Linked DNA regions of Bombyx mori. The protein of the gene in region 1 interacts with the protein of each later gene in a pairwise test. Links are inferred from orthologs where the notes say so. Each region holds a gene or a part of one and is shown on either strand. Other genes may lie near its edges.

Region 1 (3,835 bases):
TCTGTGTCAGATTGTCCCATCGGAATATCACATCATTCAATGCAAGTCCGCTTCAATATTTATTTCCAGCTATAAAGTAGAGCGCTTTTTAAAAATTATTATCTCCGTCGCAAATTCTAGTTCAAAAATGAATTCCCTCCGCAGTTTTTCTAGGTAGAAACGAGGAGGGGATTAGCGTTAAGCGGTTCCCGCAAGAAAAAACGTAAATGTCGCCGCCGCCCGCAGCGAGGAGATGAGAGATGGACGTCGAAGTTTCGATTGCATTACCAGAACCCAATAGTCACAATTTCAATGTTTGAGTCGCACTAAGCGATGGATGCAACAGAAATAGACAGTTTTTCAAGTCGCACTCTTCCTAAGTTCATTTGTAAGTTTGTTCCTGTTCTATGAGTGACGTACCATTTGCCTGATGGTATTGAAATTTAGTATACGTGCTGTTAATACTCCACATAAGTTTCTCGCACCGTTCGTTATTCAATGTGACGTGTTTGGCACATTTTTTTCCCGAATAATTGTCTCCTATGTAAAACTCTGATATAGTCAGACACGATAGATCATATATACGTCTAAACATGTTTCGTGCATCTCGGAAACAACTTTAAATATGTAGATCAAGTTTTAAATATAATTACGAATTGATAGGGCCAGGTACACTATTTTATAAAGCGATAGTAATTTGCTGATATTTCGGCATATCAGTATTCAACCACAACGTAATCGAACCTTTGCTTTCTCACAAAATCGTTCCCCTTATTCCTAGATGTAGTAGGTACTTGTAGATCGCAATCCTGCTGTCAAAGTTTGGTGTGACAAATATAAAAGGAAAGTGTATATATAAAGCGGGGGCAAAAACTTTCTTCCGTCGAGTGTACTCAATACAACAAATCGCTTCCGAGCCAACAAAGTCCTTCACAAGCAGTGCAGTGTTTGACTTACTTAACTATTGTACATTCAAAACAAAATTGTTTTTTTAAGTTCGAAAACGGAAGTTGCATCCGACACGATCAAGAAAGTTTAAGTGAAAGGTTTTGCCGAACTATAAGTTATTTGCAACGTATCGTTTGTACGTTCGATCCGTGGTGCGAGATTTGTCTGTTGATATTCAGAGCCTCCAGGCAGAGCTAACAAATACACATGGAAATAAATCATCGAGTTAATTTTTAAGGTACAATCATCATCATCTTCCGCGTCCCATTGAAAGTAATAGGCCTTTTTGCATTACGTTGCATTCTTATCAGCCTATCGACAAGTTGTGCAGCGGCCAGTACTGAAGTCCCGTGAACATTTTAAGCTTTAAGTAGACGTTATTCTTTCAAAAGCACTAGAAAGTAGCATCTTGAAACTGCGACTTGTATTTTTTTTTATATCTACTGTTTATTCTTACATTTTCATGGAAAGGTTACATTTCATTCGTTGTATTAAATTACTTTTTTTAAATAGACTATAGTTAGAAGCTGATAGAGTTAAAGGTAGAAATTCCACGATAACTCATTTATCGTGTGAGCCGCTAACTACATATATATCCGACTCAGGCGACCGCGCAATACACACAGCCGGCGTCACCCGAAACGTATCTTGTCGGATCTCCCAGATTCATTCTCGGTGATTATAGGAGCCTCAAGCACCGGTCACCATTCTCGTCGAAGTCGTCGATGACAACAAAGAGTTCGACCAGTGAACTAACCCACAGACAGCCCATTGAGTTTCTTGTCGGATCTTCTCAGTGGGTCGCGTCTTCGATCCGGTGGTAGCACTTCTTTTGCCAAACCAAATTTTAGCAAATTCTCTTAGACTGAGCCTCAAACCAAGGTAGCTCCTCGAGGTTAGTACATATAATAAGTGCATGAATCAATCCTCAAACTTTGTACGCTTTTCGACGCGTTTTCGCGTATTTTCAAATGACCAAACCACTAAGATCTTTATTGTTACTTTAGACGAGACTATACGCATGTTAAATAGTTATAAGAACCTAGAGGTGCCACTGCATGTCCGAAGCGTCCGTGGGCTAGTGAGTGAGACAAACGGTTAGTCGGATAAGTTACTTTCCCGAATTATCCTGAAAGTTATTCAAGTGTGACAATCCAGAGGGAAGCCTGGATGGCATCACACAGAGTAACATACAGAGTAACATGAGATAGGTGTAACATTACTTACTCGTACTGCTTGCTGCCGCTGCTGGAAGAGCGGAACAGTTTGCTGGAGCTGGGCTTCGGCTTCTCAGTTGGTTTGGGAGTCTCTTGGATTTCTTTGGTCTCCACGAGGGTGGCTCGCTGCTCATCCATCCTCTCGGATTGGTATTTGGATAGCAGATCGAGGAAGGACTCCATGGGGCTGTCTTCGGATTCCGAACGCATCAGCACGGCTTTCTTCTGGGCGTCCTCGGGGTCCTTCTTACCGTCGGGTGTCAACTGTATTATACATTATTTAGTTGGAATCTAATAATTTATGATAATTCGTTTTGTGTATCTTAATATAATGAATATACTTTAATATATTGCTATGTATTAAACGGTAGGTGTTCATTGTATCAACCGGTCAACGCCACCCAACTAACTGCATTTGAACAATGACTATCCTAAGCCTTAAGTCAAAAAGCACACTTACCTCACGACAAACAGAGGCTTTTTTATTTTATTGCTTAGATGGGTAGACGAGCTCACAGCCCACCTGGTGTTAAGTGGTTACTGGAGCCCATAGACATCTACAGCGTAAATGCCGCCACCCACCTTGAGATACAAGTTCTAAGGTCTCAGTATAGTTACAACGGCTGCTCCACCCTTCAAATCGAAACGCATTACTGCTTCACGACAGAAATAGGCAGGGTGGTGGTACCTACCCGCGCGGACTCACAAGATATCCTACCACCAGTAAAACTGATACATTAAGGATACCGTGCAACAATTATATGACAAAATAGTGCAAAGTTTGAAGAAAAAAGTATTGAAGAAATTACTTGTATCAGGGACAGCTGTTCCATGCTCTGCCTCCTCACACGAAGGGCGTTGAAGGGCGTCTGGCTGGAGCCGGCTTGGTCTGGCGGGGCGGGCTGAGCTGCGGCGGTCTCGGCGAGCGGCGGGAGCCCGAGCACCTTGCGGAGGTCGTTGATGTTCATCTGTGCCGTGGCCATCCCCAGCACATCACAGATCTGTTATTAACACGAACGCGATTATCACTTTTATTTAAGTACAATCTTCAAAATGGGCCCGTCTTCCTCGGGTATTCCAGTGGTGCTAAAAATTTTTTTTTTTATATTTTTGCCTTGGTTAGCGTACGAGTGGTTCCTGGAGCCCATGGACATCTACAATTACACACATATACACATGGACATATAAAATTGTTTATTTATTTAATTATATCTCAAGTAAAGTTTCAATAACGTAATATGATTGATGTATGTGTATGCTTTGAAGAGTTCCAATACGAGCATAGAACGGTACAAGCGCGACCGCGGCCTGTATCGACTGACAAACGACTCCGATGATTGTCGCCGAATCCAAACGCACATCAAAGTATTAGTACTCCCGGAACGAATCACGATTTGTCGCCCACATTTCAATTGCTCGGAAAATTTTACAACCTTTCCTTTGAATGTAACGTCGTCAATAAGCTGTTCAGGAGAAGAGGGAGTGTCTTCAAAGCGTGCCGTGGTAATGAGGAGACACCGCTGTTAGATCTTAACTTTCATAGCTATAAATGTTAAAACTAAGCTGCTCTACTGAGACACTTCCTGTATAAGAATAGCGATATTTTTAATTTCTATTTCAAACTTACAATAATTACATGATTGCACAGCTCAGTAATGTTGTAACATTATGACTATTCTCGATGCAGTCTT
Region 2 (3,835 bases), on another chromosome or scaffold:
ATATATATATTATATGTATGTATAATAATTATTGATAATTTACAATGAGCTCAAAACTAGTTAATAATTTTATCTAATACAAAACGATATTTGAGTGAGCGTTGTATACTTAATATTATGATGTATTTTTTTTATTATTTTTTTTATACTTATTGTACACACAAAGAAAATACAATAAAAAAACAGATTTAAAGAATGTCTAAATACTATGTACAAAGGCGAGCTTAACTCATTCATGAGTTTTCTTCCAGCAAACCAATAGCAGAGTGAAATACGATGTATAAGAGGGGAATAGTGTACAATATAAAAGCTATTAAAGCATGATTTTTAAACTAAGCTTTAAAAAAAAAAAATCTAATATAAAATGAAAAATACATATAAATAAACATACATAAAACAATAACTTAAATACAATTAAAGTGACAGGAAATGTTTCTTCATTTGACTCGTAAAAACTTCTAGAGAGGAACTAGCACGAATAGGTTGAGGGAGAGAATTCCATAATCGCACTGCTTGTATTGTGATTGTATGAACGAATGCAGTTATTCAAGTATCTCTGTATTGCGTAACGAAAGCTTACACAGTTCCGAGCTACGTTTGAACGACTCGCTAATCCGATTAGCGCATCTCCTTTGAGATATCGGTTCACTAAACTCAAAATGAATATTCGCTCTGTTCGAAGATTCGAATGTACGATCGGATACGAATGTAGTAACAGTAACTGTGTAGAAATGGTATATTTTATTACCTAAAAAAAATCATTGTGAATTTAATACATGGTACATAGATAATTTTATTGCATGGACAAATCTATAAGTTAATTGCCTTATAACATTAAAATACGAAAGTTTTTCTATAAATAAATTTAATCGTCCTTGACATTTGGTTTATGATCGATCATACGGGTAATTTACAATTTAAAAAAAAAAACTTTATTCGAATATTCATTATTCTAATATTACGAATGGTCCTCCGGTAGTCGAAATTCGACTATAATTAATTGAAATTATAAGATTGTACACTATTATGATTCTATTGTCAAAGACTCTTATACTTCTATAATCACAGATTTCGCCAAGACTACACTTAGACAAATATTAATAAAGACAAACAATATTCAACCTATTCTCAACTTATCCACAGACTTTACCAATAAACAAAATCGTATATATGCGTATGTGTGTCAAATATATATTAGTGTGTAATGTTTTCTTTATTGATTTTTTTTTTTTTTAAATATTTGCGTTGTGCTGCACTCCTTCTCTATATTCTCGATAAGTGTGGGAAATTTTATATTCCTCCGTCCGCGCAATTTTCGTAAAAAGGGTTACAAAGATTTTGGTATTCACGAATATGGTTATTGCCTATCATTTATGTACAAAGTAGCTATTGTCGCTTAGTCACGTTTGCCTTTCAAGCGTCGATATAGATTAGTATAGAATCTATTGGTTTCTTTTTAACACTACGCGGTATTTGCAGAGCGATGGTAAGATGGTGTTCGACGTGATTCAACGGATGGAGGACACGGAACCGTTCAGTGAGGAGCTTCTCGCCGCGATGAAAAGGCTCTGGGCCGACTCTGGCGTTCAGGAGTGCTTTGGTCGTTCCAACGAGTACCAACTCAACGACTCCGCTAAATAGTGAGTACTTGAAGTTTTTTTTTATAGCTTAGATGGGTGGACGAGCTCACAGCCCACCTGGTGCTAAGTGGTTACTTACCCATAGACATCTACAACGTAAATGCCCCACCCGCCTTGAGATATAAGTTCTAAGGTCTCAGTATAGTTACAACGGCTGCACAATCCTTCAAACCGAAACGCATTACTGCTTAATCTACCTACCCGTGCAACTCACAAGAGGTCCTACCACCAGTGTTGTATTAGCATCAGATTGCGTGTGATCAGATTATTTGAAATAGGGTACCTGTTCATATTTGAGTTAATATTTATCGCAGTGTGGGTCGTTTTCAAATTTGGGTCCAAAAGCAAGTTATTTGATTTAATACCTTAATGTTACCGTAATTATAAGTACAGTAAATTTGTGGTCATGACAACAGGCACGTGGTCCTACAACTATATATTTTTAAACATTGTTCAATTAGGAGTTGTACATTAAAAACTACCCCAAATCTCATTCGTATCAGTGGTTCGAATTTAAAATTCTAACTCGTTTGCTATTTTTCCAGTAATGCGTGTTGAAATTCGGCAATTTTATTTAATCACTTTACTTCTATTCGCTATATTATTTTTGTCTAGTGAAACCCAGCGCAACAACTATCCCATTTAATTTGATTAGAAACTAAAGATGTACTAAGCTGGCCAAAAGTTAAACATCAATAAAAGAATACTACTCATTTCTCTTGTTCAATGTAAATTTGAGAGATTCATTCGGTATATATGTGGGCGTTACGCTGTAGGTCAGTTCAGGATGCCTCCACAATACGTTATATTTTTGAAATATCTGAAATAGAAATAGTCATTAGAATGTTTTTGTAATTTTGATATAAGTAGTGGTCCCGCAGTAGTTGAAATTCGACTTTAATTAATTTAAATTATAAATTTGAACATTATTATAGTTCTATTGTCAAAGACATAAACTTCTTTATTCACAGATTTCACCAAGACTACACTATAGACAAATAATATTAAAGATAAACAATACATATTAATTTATTCTCAATTTGACCAGACTTTAAATAATAAAAGTTTGACAATAAACAAAGTATACATGTATTTAAGTGTGTGTTTGTCAAATAGATGTTGTGTGCGTAATGTTTTTTTTATTGATTTAAAATGTTTTTTATGCATAATTTAAAAAAATATTTACATTCTGCACTCCTCTATATTCTCTATAAGTGTGGGAAATTTCATACTCCTCCGTCCGCGCAATTTTCGTAAAAAGGGGTACAAAGTTTTTGCTTCACGTATTAATATATAGATGTCTCGTAATTTGTATTACTAAATAATAATAAAAAATCAATGATTACCCTGGCCAGTAAAAGTTGCAATTCGACTTCGGCGAATCTCTTCCCGACGCACATCCGTCGACCAAATCCAAAGGGGAGTGACGCGAACGGGTGTATCCCTATTTCCTTCTGCTTGCGACAAACGTCCGACACTACTGTACGATCGCATGTTCTCGATATCTCGTCCGAGCTATGCCTCTTATCGAATTGATTCATCGCTTTTATGGGATATTGATCTTTGCCGGCAATATCGTTTTCTCGTAACCAACGTTCAGGCACGTATTCGTGCGGTGACGGAAAATATCGTTCTTCGTTCGATAATACATAGTGCGGGAACACTATATGAGTCTGGAAATAGGTATAGGTTTAGTGAAAACAACTCACAAGAGGCCCTACCACTAGTAAAACACAAATCAATATTAACTAAAGTATGGTTTAGTTATAGTTACTTCACTAGCTAATATTGAGGTTGAAAAACTTACGCCTTTTGGAACTTTGTAGCCAGATATGGTGGTGTCCGATTGAATGCATCGTCCGTTTCCCAAAATTACCGGTTTCATTCTAGAACATTTAAGTCGACTATTATCAAAGCCGGCAATGTGACTTTTGGACAATTATTGGTAAATCAGAAAAACGAATTATTGACTTTGTGTTCCATTGGCAGTCACAAAACTCTTCTGAACGACATCTTAGATAAATAACAGGTTAAGTATTAACCTTTATTTATTGCAGGTTTTGAACCGTATTCTTTGAAGGAGAAGATTATATTCAAATCAATTTGTATTGACATATCAATAACATTTTTTTGTCCAAATGCACAGATTGCCACCTTTGATAATAGACGACTCATTTAATACATTTCGAATGCAT

Evidence for each region.
Region 2: the proteins of G-protein-signaling modulator 2 (region 1) and Go interact in a two-hybrid assay, tested with the Drosophila melanogaster proteins (3 studies listed by BioGRID, with this or other methods). The link is inferred for Bombyx mori from reciprocal best matches to the Drosophila melanogaster genes pins and Galphao.

The regions. Positions count from the first base shown.
Region 1 is NC_085107.1:20,246,732-20,250,566, reverse strand, and holds part of G-protein-signaling modulator 2, read right to left. Parts: intron 3,146-3,835; coding exon 2,954-3,145; intron 2,409-2,953; coding exon 2,155-2,408; intron 1-2,154.
Region 2 is NC_085125.1:9,507,920-9,511,754, reverse strand, and holds part of Go (G protein alpha subunit Go), read left to right. Parts: intron 1-1,479; coding exon 1,480-1,640; intron 1,641-2,037; exon of another isoform or gene 2,038-2,346; coding exon of another isoform or gene 2,347-2,460; intron 2,461-2,986; coding exon of another isoform or gene 2,987-3,313; intron 3,314-3,447; coding exon of another isoform or gene 3,448-3,526; intron 3,527-3,835. Other genes in the region: probable cytochrome P450 49a1, read right to left, coding at 2,347-2,460, 2,987-3,313, 3,448-3,526. UniProt on the Drosophila melanogaster protein: Guanine nucleotide-binding proteins (G proteins) are involved as modulators or transducers in various transmembrane signaling systems.